Astyanax mexicanus: one gene and its partners. The protein of the gene in region 2 purifies or fractionates together with the protein of the main gene of each other region. This does not show direct contact. Links are inferred from orthologs where the notes say so. Each region holds a gene or a part of one and is shown on either strand. Other genes may lie near its edges.

What was found.
Region 1: the proteins of stk11 (region 2) and fkbp5 purify together in Homo sapiens (affinity purification with mass spectrometry; 8 studies listed by BioGRID and IntAct, counting the BioPlex papers as one, with this or other methods). This does not show direct contact. The link is inferred for Astyanax mexicanus from reciprocal best matches to the Homo sapiens genes STK11 and FKBP5.
Region 3: the proteins of stk11 (region 2) and cops4 purify together in Homo sapiens (affinity purification with mass spectrometry; 4 studies listed by BioGRID and IntAct, with this or other methods). This does not show direct contact. The link is inferred for Astyanax mexicanus from reciprocal best matches to the Homo sapiens genes STK11 and COPS4.

What each region holds. Positions count from the first base shown.
Region 1 is NC_064412.1:16,106,302-16,113,709, forward strand, and holds the start of fkbp5 (peptidyl-prolyl cis-trans isomerase FKBP5), read right to left. Parts: upstream 3,083-7,408; 5' UTR 2,989-3,082; coding exon 2,894-2,988; intron 1-2,893. UniProt on the Homo sapiens protein: Immunophilin protein with PPIase and co-chaperone activities. Component of unligated steroid receptors heterocomplexes through interaction with heat-shock protein 90 (HSP90).
Region 2 is NC_064411.1:47,654,060-47,661,303, reverse strand, and holds the start of stk11 (serine/threonine-protein kinase STK11), read right to left. Parts: upstream 3,111-7,244; 5' UTR 2,953-3,110; intron 1,178-2,952; 5' UTR 388-1,177; coding exon 104-387; intron 1-103. UniProt on the Homo sapiens protein: Tumor suppressor serine/threonine-protein kinase that controls the activity of AMP-activated protein kinase (AMPK) family members, thereby playing a role in various processes such as cell metabolism, cell polarity, apoptosis and DNA damage response.
Region 3 is NC_064427.1:22,631,418-22,639,187, reverse strand, and holds the start of cops4 (COP9 signalosome complex subunit 4), read right to left. Parts: upstream 3,018-7,770; 5' UTR 2,899-3,017; coding exon 2,825-2,898; intron 1,841-2,824; coding exon 1,761-1,840; intron 979-1,760; coding exon 827-978; intron 697-826; coding exon 593-696; intron 1-592. UniProt on the Homo sapiens protein: Component of the COP9 signalosome complex (CSN), a complex involved in various cellular and developmental processes.

The DNA of each region.
Region 1 (7,408 bases), on a different chromosome or scaffold from region 2:
TTTTATTTAAATCTCAACATAAAATGATTTTATCAGAGATTTCATCAATACATCTGTATAACCTTATCTCTTCATGCTCCGGTAAAACAAGATCTTATCTTCAGGCTGTGAGTTTTCTGAGTGGTAAAGCAACACAGAAACATTTCAACCTAGTAGGTTCGATCAGAAGAGAGAGGTTAACCTATTACACCACCAAACCATGAGACATCTCTGATCTCAGATTTCTATTTCCCAAGACTATCTTGTCGCTGTCCACTGAAAAACAATCTCTATCTCTAAAACAGCAACTTTACAGTTTATTAAATTTCAATGGAAGTCAATGCAAAAAGAGTTAATTTCATGCAACTTTGGATCATTAATATTGGTCTATTCATCAAGAAATTTTGACGCAGTGAAAAGATTAGTGTGTTTAAATGATGTAGTAAACTAAAAATCAACTAAATTAGAGATATTTGTTTTTTATTGGACAGTGATGATCACTGGTCACTGCCCTAAAATGATCTATCAACTCAAACAAAAGCCAGCAGCGTAATTGGTGCTGTAATTATGTCCATCCACGATGCTGTTTGGGGGCTAATTAGGTTGAACGGTTTAAATCCGCAGATTGAGTGAAGATGAGTGTCTCGTGAGTATTACGTCTAGGGACTGACCAGAGAGATGTAGGAACAAAAACACATCAGAGAAGAGAACATTCAGTCCAGTCCTGCAAGATACACACTATGACTCAAGGCTCTTGCTCAAAAGAACTTAATGTTTATCCGCACACACAGACGCACACGCATGCACACACACATAGAGGAAATAAAGCAAAAACATGTACCATGATATATGTGGAAACACCCCATTCATACATATGTTTAACTGATAACAATGACAGCAAAATACAATTCAAACCACATGGAAATGAAGATACACACTCATATGAAAGTACTGAGCTTTAACTCAGACGTGGCCACTGTGCTCTCTGGACGTGACGCATGATGATTTTGAATACAGCATTATATGTTAGCTTCTCAATTATGTACCTAAAATTTAAGCTGATAAATCTTCAATTAACACTCATCAATTAAAAAATCACATGGTCTTGCATAACCAGTGAGCATTGGTTTTTTTTTTTTTTTTTTTTTTTTTAAATAGCTTTTAGTGTGTGTGGTGGTGATTGATTAGCGAATATGCAAAGAAAAAATATCAGTCTTAGCATTGACTTCTGTCTTTTTATGTAGTATATAAATTTAAATATTTGCTCTGTGAATGGATTAGCAGTATTAACATTTAAGGAGCTGAATTCAGGTCTACAGTATCTGGTCCTGGGAAAAAATGATTAAATATTTGCAATATATTCTAATTAAATATATATAAATTAAGTAATATATGTATTATATAACAGAGTATATCATTAGAGGTTACATTTTCTCATATACATATACCTAATGGCTATTTTTTCAATATATATTCCTCACACCTAATAGCTTCTCTCACTGCTGTAAGCACAATTACCAATTACTTTCTGGAAATCTGTGTTAACCTACATGAGCAAGTCTTATACAGGTCATTGCATCTTTACATGATTCTTCATTAGATAATTGAATTAGACCTCAGCTCTCACTCGTGTGGTTCACTCTCAGCATACGCTCCTCGAACAAAGATGAAGACACATGGCTGTTGACTCATTTCGTCCTCAAACACATCATCTACACCAAGACACAACAGCTTAACAGCAAAACAGCTTAACCTCATACACACCGATACACACAAAATGACACATATGTTCTTCACACATGTGGATCTCTTCTCTCCATTCCACTCCATTTTCATACACATCACTCTTCTTTATATGCCTTCAAACAAAAGGCTCAATTTGTTACGTGTCAAACACAGCATTCCACTGATGTCACTTTACTCTCCGCTTTGTACAAAATGTTCCAAATGAACAGGTATGTCCTGCATGCAAAAAGTGGGGAAATTATCATACGCACACACTTGCATAAGTCTAAGAAAGAAATCCTTGAATGTTGGCCTTCATTGGGAAGACAGATAAGCCAAGGCTAAACAGTAACATTTCAGTCTTTGTTCATAGTAAAGTATCTGGCCTCTCGTATTTACAGAATCCTTCTAACATTACAGCTTATAATTAAATGCTTGGTCCAGACAGTAGGCAACACTTTAGTTTTAATGATGGGGACACTGGGTGAGAGAGTGTGTCTCCACATAAGCCTCTGTACAGAGAGAGAGAGACGGGTTTACTGAGTTGTTTTGAACTCTCTTTCTCTCTCTCCCTCTCATCAGTGTTTAAGAAGATGCCTCAGTCTCCCTCAGTCTCTCAAACTGTACATGTATGTGCAGCTTAAAGCAGGACATGTATGAGCTTCGTGCATGTTTTTAAATTATGTCATACATAAAAAATTATGTGCATAAGTTGGGTTTAAATTGTTCTTTGTTTTGAAAAGTTAGCAGATGACATAAATGACAATGCATTTTCAATAATATACATAACATGTTGGAATTTCTTGCAGTAAGTAGATAGATAAAAGATCATTTTAACTAAAAGACTGATATTTAGTACTGTGTATATATATATATATATATATATATATATATATATATATATATATATATATATATATATATATATATATATATATACATTTTGGCCTTAATATGTTTACATCTACAGATGGATATAGGTTATGTTTAAATAAAGAGAACAGTTAAGTGTACCAACTAGTAATATTTTGTTTTACTTTTTATTTTATAATGATGATATGATTTTTATTTAATGGTTCTAACGTTTTATCCATTACAGTTCAGTCCAGCTTGTGTGTTTACATGATCAGCTGATGGGATGGTGTGGTGGAAGCAGCTAAAGGATGATGAAATTAAGGAAAATACTCACAGTATTTCTCTTTTGTACCCGGGTCCTTTCATGTGTCTCTCCGTGTGTATCCGCATGTAACTTTGGCTGAGTCTTACCGGCGACGAGTGCAACATGTAGCGCGAGCGCTTTAACGGCGATGCGCGTGCTGCTGCTCTGACGCCGCCCTCCCGGCGCGAGAGTACTCAATGTTCCACCGGCACGTTTCGCCGTGGGTCTTTTTTTTTTTCACCTTAACCTCACCCGTATTCCGAGAAGCCACGCCCCCCGGCGCCTGGATTGGTCAGTATTTCACACGCTCGAGCGGTCCACTAACGGGCCAAATTACTGGCCGGTGTTTTTTTCACATTATTATTATTCCAGTCCACGTTCTTTTTTATGTATCTTTTTATTCTTTGCAACCATTGCATTCCTTTTTACTAAGTAAATTAAGTGCGATACTCCCTTTGTGCCCCATTCCAGACTCCTGCTCATGCTTTAATGGAACACAGTGTAATAAAGAAGACGGACTGCACACGCTGATCCCCTTTTTTGGCAGGATTAAGCTTTAAAATACATAAATAATCACGCATTTCTTCTAGAAGCTGTGTCTCAGTGTGTGTGTGCCTCTATTAGCATGGACTACTGACCAATCCCAGCAAATGTGGGCGTGGCCTGTCGGAATATGGGTGGGGTGTAAAACACAACAGCGCTCAGGAGAGCCACATGGAGTAGACTGGGGAAGGGGAGGGGCGACGAGACATGTGGGCGTGGCCGAAAATCCGAGAGGCAGGTCCTGTAAACTCTCCACCACCACAAAAGTAACACAGTGTTCCGGCTGTACTGTAGCTCGCTGTGATGAGAACACAGTGTCCTAGCTCAGACACCCTGACCCGTAACCCGTTACGCGCCGACTCCCGCAGGGAACAGCGTGTTCACGCAGCCTGCTGTGCGCTACGGACACACCGCGAGCATTGTGCTTAGTCCAGATAGCCAGATAAAGTTTAATTTCTAGCAGTAATAGTATTAGTAAAAGGCTTTTTTTATGTCTTTCAAAAACATATTTTTTATTATTTATTTATTGATAATTTTGTTTATTTGTTGTTGTTTTTCTTTCTTTAAACCTTACACCTTTCTCAGTCTGGCCTCTTTTTCGCTTTGTTAAATTAAATATATATGAGTGGCTGGGCAACATAAGAAGACTGTAAAAAGACTCACACCTGTGTTCCTCAGCGTAGTGCTCGTGTTCGCCTCAAAGAAAGGAAAAGCAGCAGAGTGTATAGTGCCAACAGGAATGGCCTGCAAGAAAATAATCAGATTTCTGTGAATAGGCCTATTGTGAAATTTTCACTGTAGATCAAAATAGGTTGGTACATGCCAACTAGACTAAACAAAAATACCATCTGCAAATCTCCACTAATTCTGTTGAGCAAGTACATTTATTTATTTTTCAGAGCTCAATAAGTAAACATATTTCATGTTATCAAAGCATAAAACTACTCTTCCTCCGCTATATAGCTATTGATTTGACTATAATAACTTAAATAACACACAGTTATACCTGTATTTGCAACATGTTTGTTCTCTCATAGTGCAGCAGGAGACATGACGTTTCCCCCTCCAGCTGATAACCCTCAAATCCAAAGCCTGTCTGCCTTAAGATCTTCTTAGTCATACTGTCCTGCAAGAGATCAAGACTCACTGTTATATTAATTGTGGTGAAAAAAAGTCTAAGCAATAATTACTAAGTTCGTGACAGTGATAAAAAATGAACCCAAATCCAATATATAATGAATGGTCTGGAATCAGCTTGTTTTTCTTCATACACTGAAAATAAAAAGGTATATTGTATGCCAATGTATCACTTTGACAGAGCCTCATGTTTTCGAGTGTCAGGTTGCCAGAAACTGTACACTTTGCTTCTGCAGGCACCGTATCATCACTGAGGATAACAGCATCAAATGCAGACTAGTCTTGATGCCTAAGCACGCAGTTGGCAGTTTAACAAGGCTTAGTGTGCAAAATGCTCATTAAGGATGACACAAGAACTAAACAAAGAACACTCAGAGCCATTCAAGGACACAGGTTCAGAACAGCACATTACCCTGCCAGGACTGTGCAAGTGAGGCCAAAGATCAGCATTTGCCCGACTCCTGCTGTGTGTGTTTTAAAAACAAATTAACCTGGTAACATTCAGAATGATTTTCTTCTCAATTGTCAATTTTATTAAACATGCTAATCAGATCCATGTTTGTTGCCAAGATTTTAACTGATTGATTGTTTACCATGAAAAACAGTGCTGTGTAAGAGAACATGGTGGTTATTGAGCAAGACTTACAGCCAGTTTCATAAAAGGAGTCAAACATTGTAATGAGGAACAGTGAGGTGTCTTCACTGTCAGGCAAAGTACACCACACCCAGTGTAAAACATGGCCTACACAGGTGCTATTCTTTGACTTGAACTTTTAAGTAAAGGTCACTGTCTTACATCATCTTTATTTACACAAAATGATCCTCTATAATTAATGTTTATTTTCTTTAATTTAATTATAATATGATTCTTTCTACAACAAATTGGAGAGGAACTGATTGTGGAAAGCTACTATTCTGTTATTATGTTAAATCATAGTGTAATATTATTTTTATGTTTATTTTTCTCTGACTTTGAAGTATTTAAAGGAATCTATGACAGCAGTTTAGTTTTCAGGATGTGACTCAATATTTAAAATTGACAGCAGGCTATACAGCAACTGCACCACCTACAAATACGACCATCTGTTTGGATGATGACATACTGTACATTTCAGTTGACTGCTGAGAATTCCAGTAGCACTAACTTATGAGACACCTAATTATAATGAGACACCTGACTGCATTCCAAACACATTTTCTAGGATCTAAAAGCCCATTTAACTCTTCACCTTTTCGTAGACAGTGTCTGAGAGTGTCCTAATAAAATAAAAATTGTATTTCTGCCCTTAATTACTGACACTTTGTAGTTCTACATGTAGTACATCATGCTACAAAAATAAGTAACAATATGTCATTACTTCATGATGTTAAAACAAATGTGAACAAAATAATACTTAACACATAAAAATACTTAAAACATAAATACTTTATATAAACAAATATAAAAAATAAGCATAAGCTTCCTGTAAAAGCATTGCTCTATTTTTTGTTATTAATCTCAGTACCTGCATGCATGTGGTTTACATGCATATCCATCTGTCTACAATACAGTGACTTCAGTTTTGCTGTGTATACAGACAGATAAGGATCATCTTTCATATATATATATATATATATATATATATATATATATATATATATATATATATATATATATATATATATATATATATATGTGTGTGTGTGTGTGTGTGTGTGTGTGTGTATTCCCTGTTTGCAAGTCTGGATGCTACCTGTATTTTCTTGTCATGAACTTGTACTAAGCAATTAAAGCCTAGTTAAATTTTTCTATAAAGCGTTTCACTTTTAAACTAATTTAATCACTTTACGTTGGGGTCAGAAGTACAGTAGATGAAAAATCCAAACTGAAATAAAAGGTTTTAAAGGTTGTAAAAGACAGAAAAAACAGCCTTGTGGCTTGTGTTTTTAAACATAAACGTGAATCAACTTTCCCAGAATAGCAATGATAAAAACGTAAAAAGCGGGGGAGGAACATGTGGTACATGTTGTACTCATGGTAGTTAATTTCCTCTATGCAAGAACACGACCTCAGAATCCCTCATGATACGTTTAAGAAATAAATAAAGTAAATGTCTGTGGGTTCTGTCGCTGTCACTGCTTTTCCACTGTTTTCTGTCACTTGAAATAATTTATTGCCAGAACCATTTCATAATAGCCCACAAACACACTTACACACACACCGAACAGAAAAAGGGGTCAGTTCACAAAAACAAAACTATATATATATATATATATATATATATATATATATATATATATATATATATATATATATATATATATATTTTTTTTTTTTTTTTTTTTTTTTTTTTTTTTTTAATAAAATATAAATATTAATATTAAATGTAATATTCATACTATATTTTAGATGATGAAAGCCTTGCTGAGCTACTGTCAGGTGTGCTCGGGAAGGGAATGGTTAAACCTGTATAGAACACGGGGTCCCCAAATCTGGAGCTGAGGATATGTGATTTTTTTTGTTCTGTTATCAGAGAGAAAAACAACCCAAACGGAACAGTTTCTATCTATCAGAACAGAACAGTCTAGCGGTGAAATGTTAAAATTAGTCCTGTTTTCGGGAGCAGGGTAAAATTGTGCAACGCTTGAATATGGGCTAGTCTGTACCCCCTGAATCCCCCTGAGTGTGAAAAGGATTCCATCACCAGCGCTAAACACCACAAGCTAGCTAAATCTGCCGGAGCGACAGTCCACCCGGGAACAAAATGTCCTTGTTACTCATAACGTGGAAGTAAGTCGGCTGGTCCATGGCGGAGCCGTCAGCCGGAGCGAGTAAGGCTTTAGAGCTTCGGAACAAAAGACATTTTTATTGCGGAGTTCAGGGTA
Region 2 (7,244 bases):
CGACAAAGCAAGTAGGAAATAAAAGAAAGAAAAAGAAAGAGAGCATGATAACAAATGCAGACACTCAACTTTCCTTAGATGACACTACTTATGTTGTACTTACTTTTTCACATTGGCCTCTCCATTAGGGATCCTCCTGAGCTTCTTCTTCTTGAGGATCTTCACAGCTCTCCTGCACAGAGTCTCTGAGTCCAGCATCTCCTTGACCTTGCCGTAGGAGCCCTCGCCCAGCAGGTCCCCCATCAGGTACTTTCCGATCAGCTTGGCTCGCTTGCGCCGTGGCTGGTAGATCACCTCGGTGGAGTCGATGCGGTGGATAAAAGTGTCCATGCCCATAAGCTCATTCTCAGTCAGGTAGTCCAGATGCTGAAGCTCGCCGACGCTCATCTTCTCTCGTGACCCCCTTGCTTACTTTCACTCTTTTCTCCCACAAATCCCCCCGGTGCAACTCAGTTAGTATGGGGTGGGGTCTGAATCCAGAAATTCAGTCTGATCGAGGGTGGGGAGGGAGAGAAGAGGAACTCACTAGATCGGCATCAGAGATGATTCATGCCTGAATGAGGGCGGCAACAGCATTGCTTTCAAACAGGCTCAGATACAGAGGGACAGTAAACATGAGTGGCAGTCGTTGCCAGGAGGGGAAGAAAGAGGGCTCAGCAGAGTTTTAACTGGGAAAGGAGCCAGGGAGGTCCAGTGCAAAATATAAAAGATAGAGGAGTAAAAAAAAAAAAAAAAGAAAGAAAAAGAAGAGAGGAAAAAAAAAAAAAAAAGAAAACCCAAACAGGAACCCTTCACTTCACTCACCACCAACCTTTTAGTGTCCAAAAGATGCTGTCCAATTACAAGAAGGCTGGTATTAGCCTACATTTGGTATGACTGGGCCCTTATTCATCTCTGACAACATATCCAGTGCAAAGTAAACCAGTTCCCGAGGTGAAATCCGGCCTTGGGCCTGCAGTCTATTCCTTCTGCACGACGGATGGGATGATGAACTCTATAGCAGCAGATACTTCAAGCCAAGACACATCTTCACAGTCCAGTAACAGCAATGTTGTGTTTATAGGTCCAGCAAGCACTTCTTTGGTGTACTCTATAGATGCTGTAGATAGCTTCTTCTGGATGACCTCCTATGGCAAACCGCAAACAGTGCTTGTCTTAGGACATCCAAAAAAAAAACCTGAAACAGAGGAAATAAAAGGATCAGAAACAGAAAAACACAACTGAACCCCTTTCATAATTTAACAGATGAGCAAAGATGCTTCACAATCATTTATTGATAAAAATAAGTCAACATAAAATATAGGGGAGGTTTTCTAGACAGGAATTAAGTCTAGTCTAGGACTAGGCCTAATTACCCATATTTACTCAAATTAAGTGTTACCACTTTAGATCAAACTGTTTCCTGAACAGGGTTTATACAGTTTAAGCCTAGGAGTACATGATGACAAGGATTATGCCTAGTTTTAAGACTACACAGCATTTTAAATGTAGATTTTTTTTCCCCTTTGAGAAAAAAAAACTACTACAGTAAACGACTAGGCTTATTTCTTGTCTTGGGAAACTGCCCAAAGTTCCAAAGCTTTTATGTTTTTTTTTGGTAGCCCCAGCTGGGAAAACAAAAGCCTGACTAACTCAATCAGGTTTACCAGTATAGGATAGCTGTATTTTCAATCAAAGTTGATAACAAATAGCCTAAATTAATATTAAAATGTTTCAGATGATTTGGAGATTTACACCAGATTGTAACAGAAGTCAATGTTCCAACATGTTATGATACTCATAATGCAAAGAACAGAATATTGCACATCCCTACTAGCTAGGTTGATTTAAGATTCAAGATATTTATTGACATATCACAGTACATGTGCACAGGTGAGTGAAAAACGTGGGTGCAGGTTCCCATTAGCATACAAATAACAATATTTACAACATATCAGAATAATTAAATTAAGAAATATGATTGTCCATCACCATCGTCAACTTGACCATGCTAAAACATACTTAAACTGTATAATCCAGATATTTAATAGGTTACTTAACCTAGCTAGCTAGTTAGCCAAGTATAAATATGACGTGTTGAAGCAGTTAAAGGTCTACAGGTTAAAGAAAAAAGACATTTATCACTATAAAACTATAAAAGCAACAGTAGCTGTAGTAGCTAAATCTATCCAGGTTAACTTAGCTAGCTACCTCTACAAACACTGTCAACATATCTTAAGTACACAAGTTTGACAGCTATATATTTAGCAAGTTAATTAGCTATCTTTGATAACTAGAGTTTGACAAGCCAGCTAGCTAGATGTAGCTAAGCTAACCTAGCCAGCTATGTTAGCCTACTACCTAGCAGCAAGCTAACCTGAATGTCGCACAGAAATGTGAGACATATTTAACTGTAACTTCTTCACTACAGCGAAATAGCTCCTTAAAATGCATTACACCCTCCGTGTTCATGTTATAAAAGTCTGCAAATTATATAAAACAAGCATACGTGATTTAAAGCAGCACTCAATGAGAAAGGTTACCATTGATAGCTGTGTTAGCTAGCAAGCTAGCTAATCCTTCATGGTTAAACTAGCCAAAGTAAGCTATTCTAAGCTAAGCTAAGCAACAGACCCGAGTTCCCGGCCGCATAGCGAAGAATGGACACCCGCAGCCCTCAAACCGCCTGTCAAACCCGGTTAAAACACATCCACACACAATTAAGGTCCACTAGCAATTAAACACACAGCTTATTAAGCTATCTATCTGTTTCATTTAGCCAAACAAGCGCGGTTTAAACAGATATCAGCGGCGGAAAGGCAGGCCGGCCGGCCGGAATGAGCAGTCAGTCAGTCAGTATACCTCAGTAAGGCAGCAGGCTAACCGGCCAGTTAGCCCCACTCACTGTAAGTGAATCCAGCTGAACTAGGCTAAGCTAACCGCCGCTCAGCAGCCACTGTACCCGGGTCTCACCTCAGCACGCGGACACTAACAAGCCAAGACCTGAAACTCCTCGGTCTGAGCGCTGTTAGTGTTGTCACTCCAGCACTATAACCAATTTCTCCGCTCCAGCTTTTATTGATGCAGCTGCTTCAAGGCTGTCGCCATCTTGTTTACCTCCCCCCTCGCGCGCGCTCGCGCTCTCTCTCTCGCTCTATCTCTCTCTCGCGCGCTCTCTCTCTCTCTTTCTCTCTCTCTCTGTGGTAATACTGTATACTCACTTTACACTTTACTATGGAGTCCCTAAGGTGACACAATGTTAAAAATAATAATAATAATAATAATAATAATAATGTGTGGTCACGACTAATTAAAGCGTGGTTATGAGATCCTAAAGTATAGATAGATAATTAAGGAATGCGAATGAGATAATTAAGTCATGGCCACGACTTTTGTTTTTGCTAGCGGTTAGCTGCATTAGTTAGCATCTATCAGCTAAACCTAACAGACGTGTTCATTTGTTTATTATTATTATTATTATTATTATTATTATTATTATTATTATTATTCATTTAGGCGCTTGTTATGTGTGACATTTCATAAGGTGACATTATGTTAAAAAAAATAATACGTGGCCACAACTAATTAAAGAGTGTTAATGAGATCCTAAAGCGTGGAAATTATATAATTAAGGAATGTGAATGAGATAATTAAGTCATGGCCACGACTATTTTTTTGCTAGCGGTTAGCTGCATTAGTTAGCAGCTAACAGCTAAACCTAATAGACTTGTTTATTTGTTTATTATAATTCTATTATTATTCTTCACTTAGGCGCTTGTTTTGTGTGACATTTCATGAGGTGACATTATGTTAAAAAAAAGGGTGGCCACGACTAATTAAAGCATGGGAATGAGATAATTAAAGCATGTGAATAAGATAATTAAGGCATTTGAATGAGATAATTATCTTTTTGCTAGCGGTTACCTGCGTTAGCTAGTTAGCAGCTAAACATAACAGACGTGTTATGTATTACGTGTTTATTCGTATTAATTAGGCAGCTGTGTAATGCTAGCAGCTGTGTTATGCTAGTTAGCTAGTTAGCTTGCTTGGCTAGCTAGCTAGCGTTCGCTATTTAACTAGTTAGTTAAAGCAGCCAGCAGAACTTGTTTGACAGTGTTGTTGAGAAAAAAGTAAGACAAAAATTATGTGTTTTAAATGTTTATAAGGTTAATTTTTAGCCATAAAATGTTAAACAGTTTTCAGACTAACGTGTCTGTTTTCATAAAGCTCAGATAAACCAGCTATTCTGATAAGCTGGCTCACTTCACTGTTAATGTTGGTCAAAGTGAAGCTGTGTCGTGACCATGACCAGGTGTGAGATTGAGAGAATTATGGCGTGTGAATGAGATAAAGGTGTGGCCACAACTTAATAAAGCGTAGGAACAAGATACTAATGTAAGGGAATGAGATAATTAAATGCATTTGAATTATATATACTAGTGAGTTCATGGCCTCGCCCACTTCGGCTCAGGAGCTAACAGTTTCTGTTTACAGAGCTAGTTAGCCTTAGCTATCTTGTGTAACTATAAGTTTAGATCTCCGGTTGATTCCATGTTTAACGAGATCTTAAATATACACTAGGGAAGCACTGTTTGACAAGGTAGCACAACTCGATAGAACACCAGTTAAATTGTCCAGGCTACTACCGTCAAGCATTATGACCAAGCTGGTTGACCAGTTTGAAAAGCATGACCACAATTGATGAATAAGATTATTTTAATTGTAAGTTATTTATATGTTATTTACCTGTGTTTAATAATTAAAAGTTTAAGATAAGATAAGGTAAACAGAGGGTTAGAATATTACAAATTCTGCTGAAAAAGAGCATTATTCTTCTCTCAGGCTGGACCTGAGAGATCAGAGCTTCAACTGATACATCAGCTAAGAGTTGCAGAGTCATTATTAACCTGCCATTTCACTGCCAGGATTGAGCAGCTGTGCTGGCTCTGCCAAGCCCACATTCGTTGCTGCTCTTCTGCCTGCTCCTTTTGCTTAGCTGGCCAACCTGGGTTATATTTAACAAGTGTAAACCCTGGGGAATGGCACGCCAAAGCTCCAATTACAGGCCTGCGCTCCCTTTCTTCATAGAGTGCAGTCTTTGGGGAGATAGGCCACACTGTGGCCTCTGCTGGGCAGGCTGCAGGTCAGTTGGCAGGACCTTGTGGGGTGGTATGAAGTAGGCCTGACTTGCTTAAGAGCTTAGGATGGAAATGAGGCAAATCCTAATTGGAGATCATCTAGCCTCGCTCATTCATTCATTAATTTGTTTGATAAACAATGATGTAATGAGTAATATGTGCTTTTATTTCCAGGAATTGACATCTGAATCTAATCTGACAAAGTTCATAAGATAACACTTTTTATCTGAACACATACATTTTTCTTATAAGCAAAAGTTTTGGAACATATAAACTTGTATATCTGTATAAACTTGTATTAACTTGTATACATAAAATGTATAAAATTGAATACGACTTCATATTCCATTGCAGTTTTCACTAACTTTTTCATTCTTCTTTTGTGATGCTTTTCCAAGCATCCTCAGTAGGGTTTAAATCTGAATATTGAATAGGTCTACATCTAATAGGAATAAAACCTTTCAATTATTGCCCCTAATAAACTCCTCTGTAGTTTTCACATTGTGTTTTTGAGTTATTATCTTGCTGCATGATGAAGGATCTCCCGATCAGTTTTCTCACAAGAAAAATGGTTGGGTTCAAGTAAAAGGTGCTGTCTTCTAAACTGTGTATTAGATTCAGCTATATAAATACCTGGAAACAAAAGCTGAAATGTTGAAATATTTTAATGTCAAATAAAGGGATTGCCCTGAATCTTGTTTCAATACATCAACCACTTAGAGATATGTTACATATTATGGTTATTCTGAAGGCTTTTATGATTGATAGAAGGCTTTACAGGTCTTTGAGCTCAGAATAAACACATATGTAGCCCTAGGCCAAAGAACAGTTTTGATTCAGTCAGTAATCCCTTTACAAATCCCCATGTGCCGTCCACTTTATTACTCAGTAAGTATCTGCCCTTGTGTTTCCTCTCCTCCTCTCAGCTTCACTTTTGATCTCTCACATCTGTCTCCCTCTAGGGGTGGTTCATGCTGCAGTAGCACTGCAGGCTGCGGCACTGCGCTCATTTCAGTGCATCAAAGTCATGTCTAAAATTAAGCTCCACTGTGCAGAAGGATTGGCAAGACTTCCATAAGAAAGTTCATACCCATATAGTAGAAAAAAACTGTATGGATATTTATTTCTTCATATGTAAAAAATAGTTTCAAATAGTTTTAAAACTCTTGCAGTAACGATGAAAAATATATTTTGGCTTTCATCTACTATGTAAAATGTACTTATAAATGTACATATATTTATTTTCGATATGGGTATTCTAGCCATTTAAGCCTAAACAGCCCTCATGACTGTACAGTACATTAACACAATAGTAATAACATAGTAACAACACAGTGATGACATAGCACTAATAATACATTTGTAATAACATGGTAATTGCACAGTACCCAAACAACTGCAATAACATGTAACAACACAATAATAAACACACAATTGTAATAATATGGTAATAACCCAGCAAAAAAGATGTAATAACACCATAGTTATAATGTAGAAAAGCACTGTAATAACAGAATAGTAATTACAATGCAATAATATGTAATAATACAATAATAATAACACTGTAAAACCATAATATTAATAAAACAATAAAAACACAGTAACAACACTAAGAACATCTTAATAAAACATTCATAATAACATAGTAATAACTTCGGAAAAAATATGTAGTAACAATAGTAATAACATGGTAATAACACAGCACCATAACAATGGTAATAACCCTGCAATAAGATGTAATAACACTAATTATAATGTGGTAATAGCACTGGAATAATAGAATAGTAATTACAAAGCATTAAAATGTAATAATACAATAATAATAACACTGTAATAACACAGTAACAACACAGTAAGTACATAATCATACATTATAACATGATAGTAATAACATTGTAATAGCACAGTACCCAAACAATGATAATAACACTGCAATAACACGTACTAACACAATAATAAATACACATTATATATAATTTTATATAATATTATAACATTGTAATAACCCAACAATAAGATGTAATAACACTATAGTTATAATGTGGTAATAGCACTCTAATAACAGAATAGTAACAACATTGCAATAACATGTAATAACACAATAATAACACAATGCTAATAAATGGT
Region 3 (7,770 bases), on a different chromosome or scaffold from region 2:
ATTCGTTGGTTTCTTGATGCCATAAAACTATTGCATTTACATATTGAGTATTTCAGACTGGACTACGTTTTTATCAAGGCACAATACATGGGAGCAGTGATCAGAAGAAATCCCTTATATTTTTACGATATTTAAGTTCATCTTGCCACTAAATGATTCACAGAAAATTTAATTCAGTAAAATGTAACAAGAATTTCTCATTTTGAAGAAAGTAGTAGAGATCTTGTGGGCTACTTTAAGGAACAATGATTCTACCAGATTTCTCCTGGATGCCCCCAACCAGCACCACAGTGGATGTGTTCAATTCTGTGAGTAGCTCAACTGTTTTACCAAACTAAGTGTAGATGTGTTGATATTGTCTATAAATAATACAAGACTCTCATCTTGAGAAGAGCTTTGGAGTTATTTTAATATACACATTTTTTTTGTAAATGTAAGATTTTTTTATGTAAAAAAAAGAAATGTATTTGTATTTATCCTAAACAATATTATACTAATCAACACTTCAATTCTAAGGTTTTGCTTTTCAAATGACACACAGATCATGGGAATAAAAAAAAAATCAATTCAAAGGTAAGGTAGACTGACTTACTTCTGTCCTGTCTCCAGAGGTATACCCACTAAAACCTGTGCAGCATTTCTCCAGTCCTCTTCTTTCTCATATATAGTGGCTAGATGCTGTCTGATTGAAGCCACCTGAAAGAAATAGGAAGGTTTAATGTAGCACTCTTGCTAACCAAAGTATAATCATTATATAATAAATATTGGTGAAAACAACATGAGTGTGCATGTTTGAGCACAGTACTGTATAATTGTCCAAACGCACCTGCTCTTCAAAGGAGATAACTCTTGGCTGAATCTTCTCCAGTGTAAAGTGGTAGACAGCTTTAGCTGTGCTGTCGGGTAAATTTGGTAGGTGTGTGCAAAAGTCAGTGAGTAGCTGCCTGGATATCACCAGACTGACATTTTCATTGACCACTGCAGAGGAAGAAGACAACAGAAACATCTCACAGCGAGAAATATATAAACTTGGTGTACCAGAGGTTAAATAACAGCTAAGGGTGTTTAACACCTGAAAATCCAGAGCAGAGTCCACACCAAGGTTTGCGTTTTTGTTACATTAGATACGTATGGTCCGGTTAGTTTAAGTATGGTCCGTCATCATCACCTACTTGTAGTAAATCTCCCTAAACTTCACATTAATTAGTTTGTAGAATGTTGTTACTTCTGTGAACTGCTTTTCCAGGTGCTGTGCCAAAGTTTACCTCTCTACCAGAATTGAACTCTCCATCGCAGAGATAAAAGATTCCCCTCGGATTGCTTTCATTTCTGTTTATAAATAAAGCTTAATCTACAGTTACAGTAGATACTGGAATCACCAGCGAAAGTGTTTGCATCCATGTGTCTGCATGACGTGCCTGCACGCCAATGACACGCATTTCAGCACAACACCAGTTCTGCCTCAGCTTCCAGTAATTGGTCCAAACGTTTGAAACCATCTAGAAGTGTTTACACACTGAAGATGGACCAAACCATTAATCAGTATATTTTGTCCTTTGGACTCTTTGATCTGTTGTTTGCAGACCCTTTCACACGTTGTTATTTTTTTTTCTCTTTTTTCCCGTTTAGTGTTATTGCATTTCAAGTGAAATGCTCCAAAATGACTCTTTTTAAATCTGAGAATGTTTGTCCTTCTTCTGTGAAAAGACCATTTAAAGCTACAAGGTGTTCTCTAATGAAATGTGTGTTGGAATACTTACTGGCTTCAACAAATGCTTTCAGTGCCTCCAGTTGTTCTGCATCTGTGAACTGTATTGCCTTATCCAGAATCTGACGATACCTACAATAAATGCATATTATACATTAAAAATGCAGTCCGAAAACCAATATACTGGCTTATCAGCTGTTGTTTATCTGTACACTTTTAAAGCTCTCAGTGCCTCATTTTAAATGTCAGAATTGTACCAATAAAGTGCGGAGCTACTTTGAGGTTTCCAGCTGGCATTTCAATGCTGAATCAATGTTGATGCATACAAATTATGCAACTAGCTAACTATCTAACTATATAACTAACTTAGTGAATATACACAGCTCTGGGAAAAACAAGAGACCACTTAAATATGATGAGTTTCTTTGATTTTATCAAGTTAAAAACCTCTGGAATATAATCAAGAGATGAATGATCACAAGCCATCCATGGATGATCACAAGCCACATTTATGCACCAGGACTGGCATTAAGTAATCAAAAAGCAGTGTGTAAGATTGGTGGAGGTGAACATGCCAAGATGCATGAAAACTGTGATTTAAAAAACAGGTTATTGCACCAAATATTAATTTATTAAAATCTTTATAGACTATATAGATATTGCACGTTAGCCAGAATTAGAATCAACAAAGCTACTTAGCTTAGCATGCTAACAAGCTAACAACCATGCAGATAGGTCTGTGGTTAACTAGGTGCAGATACACTGTAATAAAATAAACAAAAAGTGTCCGAGTATAACGATTATTAAAAGCTTATATAATATGTTTTTTTGTAAAAGCTAGCTTTCACAAAAGTCGGAGTTCTAAAAAAAAATAAGCTCACCGGCTTAGCTATGGTAGCTAGCTAGTTAACTCCTCGATTAGCATTAGCATAAGCATAAGCAGGCTCCTACAGTTAGCTGTTACAGTTAGCATGAGCGAGTTAGCTAGCATGTAGCTGCACCTTCTAGCCACGTCCTGGATCTATATTAGCTATATTAAACCCGCTGTAATAAAGCTGCTGGGCTGGATCTGCACATAAGGGAATAATAAATAAAAGCCGCAGTAGAAATCCGTACTTTCCAGCGAGGTCTTTGTGAGATCCGCTGGAGTTCATCAGCTGGGCGAGCTCCTGCCGCACACCGGACGCCATCTTCCCCAATACACAACAACCAGCAGCGCGGAGATCTGATTTCTGACAGGCCGAAGGGCAGCGCACTCTCCACGGGGTACAGCACCACCAATGGCCGGTGTTCTGTCGAGTTGTGCTATCTTGTCAAACCGTGCTACCCTCGTGTATATTTAACTGTAAAAATACAAAAGAAGCACCATATTACAGCATGTTCACAGTAGAAGTCCCAGTAGATGTCGCTGGCTAGTATATGTATTTGGATAGCATAAATCACTATATCATGTTAAGGTTATGGCAATGAAAGCTTTTTTAATAAAAATAATTATTGTATTTATTATTATTAATAATTTTAATTCACACTTTTGTGCAATGACAGTGAGTCCAAGAAAACAAATAATATATTTTTTATATAAAAAAAACACGAGATCAAAAAGTAAAAGTAAAAAAGTAGGTCAGCGCATGCGCAGTACCTTTAAGAAGCATATATCGATGGGTAACATAACTCGACAGAACACCAGGCCCTCCAATCAATTACCCGATGGTGGCAGGGACTAGGCGATATGGTAAAATAATAAAATCGATTTTCGATATTCTTCAAATATATATGAGTGATTAGATTTTTTAGTTCTTACATATCAACTCAATACAACAGATTTGCCAAACTAATAACAAGGAGCAGAAATTTCAAATATGCACATTCATACTAAATTCATAAATAACTCATAACTACCTATAATATAACTAAACATATAAACTAAATAAAAAAAAAGTCTTCAGAGGAAAAAGGTATGACCCCTATACATCTGGATTGCATTTTACAATTTTTCACACTGGTGTTTGCTTTTCAGTTTGGCACTAATTCCACTTCATACCCGGCCAAAAAAAACTTAACTAAAATGGCAAATAGCTTTTTGACATTTCATTTTACCTCCCAAATAATAGGCGGTATATCCCCATTTGCCTGACAATGAAATTTGAAATGTTTTTCCCACTCCTCCATGCAGAAGTCTTTCTGCTGTGTGAGGATTCACGTAGTTTTCTGTACAGATGGCCTCACATTCTTAAAGACCAATTTATATTTCTGTAGCAAACCTATGCCATACCCTATGCAGACCCTACCCAAAAGTGTAACAGTGCACTGTGCGATGCGGACAGCAGCAGCTGTGATTGGTCCTCTGAGTCGTTACTAGTTAGGGTTTAGGGAGGGAGTAGTGTGGAAGATGGGTTATGAATATGCCATAGTTATAAGTTAGGGTGTAGTAAGCAGTTGTATATGTGGCACTGGGAGTTGGGAGTAGTGTGGAAGATATGTTGTGTATATGGTGTAGTTAGTAGTTAGGGTGTAGTGTATAGTGAGCAGTATATGGGTGTAGGGAGTAGTTTGGAAGATACTGTAGTTAGTAGTTAGGGTGTAGGGAGCAGTTGTATATGTGGCACTGGGTGCATGGAGTAATGTAAAAAAGTATGTATGTATGTATGTATATGGTATTGTTAGTAGTTATAGGTGTAGTGTAAAGCAAGCAATGAAATGGGTGTAGTGAGTAGTGTGGAAGTAGTGTTGTGTAGTTAGTAGATAGGGTGTAGTGTATAGTAAGCAGGATATGGGTGTAGGAAGTAGTGCGGAAGAAGTGTTGTGTAGTTATTTAGTGTAGTTAGTAGATAGGGTGTAGTGTACAGTGAGTAGTATATGGGTGTAGGGAGTAGTTTGGAAGAAGTGTTGTGTAGTTATTTGGTGTAGTTAGTAGATAGGGTGTAGTGTATAGTGAGCAGTATATGGGAGTAGGGAATAGTGTAGAAGAAGTGTTGTGTAGTTAGTAGAAAGGGTGTAGTGAATAGTGAGCAGAATATGGTTGGTAGTTGTAGGGAGTAGGGCGTAGGGAGTAGCGTGGAAGATGAGACACTAGAAGGAGCCAACTCCTGCGCGCGGGCGTTCCCTGTAGACGTAACACGCGGGTTCCCATGGAGGCGGAGCCTCATTATGGGATGTTAGGGGTGAAATGGCGCTCGGCGCGGTATTTTAAACAATCGGATCTGTTTCGGGAAACGTAGCGAGAGAAAAGCGGTGCGGGGCCCAGCTGTACCGGACCGGACTGGGCCGTGCACGAACACGGCGACAAGCGTCCACATTCCCGAGGAAGCGACCGTAATAGAACTGTAAGATTCCCGGTGCTGAGCTGCGGGTTTGGGGGGATCGGAGCGGGTTAGCCGCCGAGCTAACAGCTGATATGCGCTGTTTAGGTTCAGCAGGGCGGACTTTCTGTTCAGCTGCGGCTTCGCTGTAAAACTGCTGACACCCTGAATAGAAGTGGCTCAAAATAGAGCTGCAGACCACTGATTAATGTTATAGGACTATACGATTATAATATAAGTATATATCAGTTAATTTACAGTCTAATTGAGGGAGGAAATTGTGACATTTTTTCTGGTAGCTTAGCTAGCTTAGCTTAGCTTAGCTGAGTTGACAGTAATGACAGCAGCTATTTAGTGAGTTAGCTATAGCTAGTTAATGTGTTTTTTCTGAAACAGGAGGGCTATATTACATTTAATTAATGTAATATATAACATTTTAACCCCTTAATAGTGTGAAATCGAGGCAATTATTTTTATTGATCTTTTATTATGATTGATTAACTAATTAATTAAAATAACTATAATGTTACTAGGTTAGAGCTTGAGAAGAATCAGATTTTTTTTATTTGTGCTGTAAACTGATTGTATTGGTAGCTTAACAGAATAAACTTACAAGTTTAGTTGCATTACATCTTTTAAGGTTGACAATGAAAAAACAACCTTAAAATAACATTTATTTATCATTGCTTAAGGGGTAATTTAAGATTTAAAATATTTGAGCAGATGAGCTTTTCAACACTTTTCTTCACTGCAAACCATAACATTGATTCAATGCATTAATGATGAAAGGTGGAATGTATTTTGAGATTAATAGCTGGCATTAGGTGTTTTTAAAGAAATCACCTGGCATTTAAAAATATGCTAACATGCGGCAAAATATGTGTCAATAAGAGCATGCATTATGGTTTGAATAATAATCAAGCTTATTTTAATCAAGATAAAATATAATAAGTTTTGTAGCTAGTGCTAAGCAGAACCGATGCTGTGCATCACAAATTTTTAGGTCTGCAACGAATGATTATTATGGTATTCAACTAATCTGAATTATTTTTTTCAATTAGTCAACAAATATTTCTGCTATGTCCTCCACTTCTAAAAACAATTAAAACAGCTGATCATGAGATTTAAAAGGAATTTACGTGTCTAAATGTTGTATAAATGTAAAAAGATACTGACACTTAGTGAGTAAGTATGTAATCTGTTGTGTTTGGGCACTTTTGGAGTTGAGCATAAACTGTTTGAGTGAGACATTTATCCATCTCCCATTGCGTTTCTGTCCCCAGCACTTGTGTAATACGGCACTGTTGCAAATGAACGATTAGTCGACAATAACATTTGTAGTCAAATCAACATTATCGAGTTTATTGACTAATCATTGCAGCCCTATGATTCTTAACATTGCAATTCTTTAGGGTATTTTTGCAGTAAGGATATTCTTGCAGATATGAGCAAACATTGTTTTTTTTTGTTAAATTATTTTTTAAATATTTTACTTATTATAAATGTAAAGACATTATGTAGAAAAACAACTCTCTAAACTTTTGTCTGTAATAACTTACCCAGACTTTAACCAGATTGTGTATGAAACAATATAAAGTAATATAACAACAAAACTCTACAAGAATACTAATGTGCAGATTATTTATAGATTATTAAACTACAAAAAGTGCAAATAAACTGAACATTTTTGCTATTTTCGCAATATTTCGTTTTTGTTTTAACGTTTTTTAACCACACCTACTCTGCATACTAGCAAATAAACTATTGTAATTGTTTTTTTATGTATATATTTTTTGCACGTTTGAATATGCTTTTTAAACTCTTTACCTCCACGATAATCCCACTAAAAACCCACCAAAACTAACCAAATCCCACCCAAAACGCACCAAGCCGCTCCGCTGTTGTTTTTCTCGCGTCTGGAAATGAACTGATGACGAGTTGAAAATGGCGGATCTTTCGAAATCCAACCCGGGCCTGAAATAGAAACACAGCCCCGCTGCCCGCTTTCCGCAGGGCTCTTCATCACCACACCTCGCCCTGTTCAGCCTGGATATGTGTACTTTTATATCGACTAATGATTATTCAGAGAATGCAGAGTAATGTCGCGATTTATGTCATTTAAACAGGAGCAGCGCTGCTGAAAAACATTAACGCTAGCTGCCTGACTCGCCTTTCTGACCAGCACTCACACTCACAGAGAGAGGAGGTAGGACACAAACTGTAATTTTTTTGTTAGTTCTGAGCTGATTAAAGAGACCTAAACCGTATATACCATAAGATTACATCCAAATAAGCCTTTAAATAATACTTTAAACATTCACAGGCACCGTATTTTATATATGTTAAGACCCTTAGCTTTAAAACAGCTAGAAAAACAAAGCCTCTGGTAACTAACCTAACGTTACTGCGTTTAGATATAGCGTCAGGTTGGTTAAGCTATAGAATTAATTATTTAACTAGCTAGGAAGTTAGCGTTAGTTTTAAGATCAAATTTCAGGAATTTACCAGCAAACCAGTCCGTGTTTCTTTAGCCAGAGGCTGTTGGCTCCTACAGTTTTATGTACTGAAACCTATAACCTAATGTTAGGTTAGCTAACCCTGCTAGGTAGGTAAGCTAGCCACACAAATATTAGCCAGCCCTGACAGCTCATCCCCCTTTACAGCCCTGTTAATGTTAATCTGGTTTATTTCCTAATCCACACAAGCAGAGAGTTATTAAGTAAAAACGGTGTCTGTTTTAATAGCGCACCATTCGCCAAATAA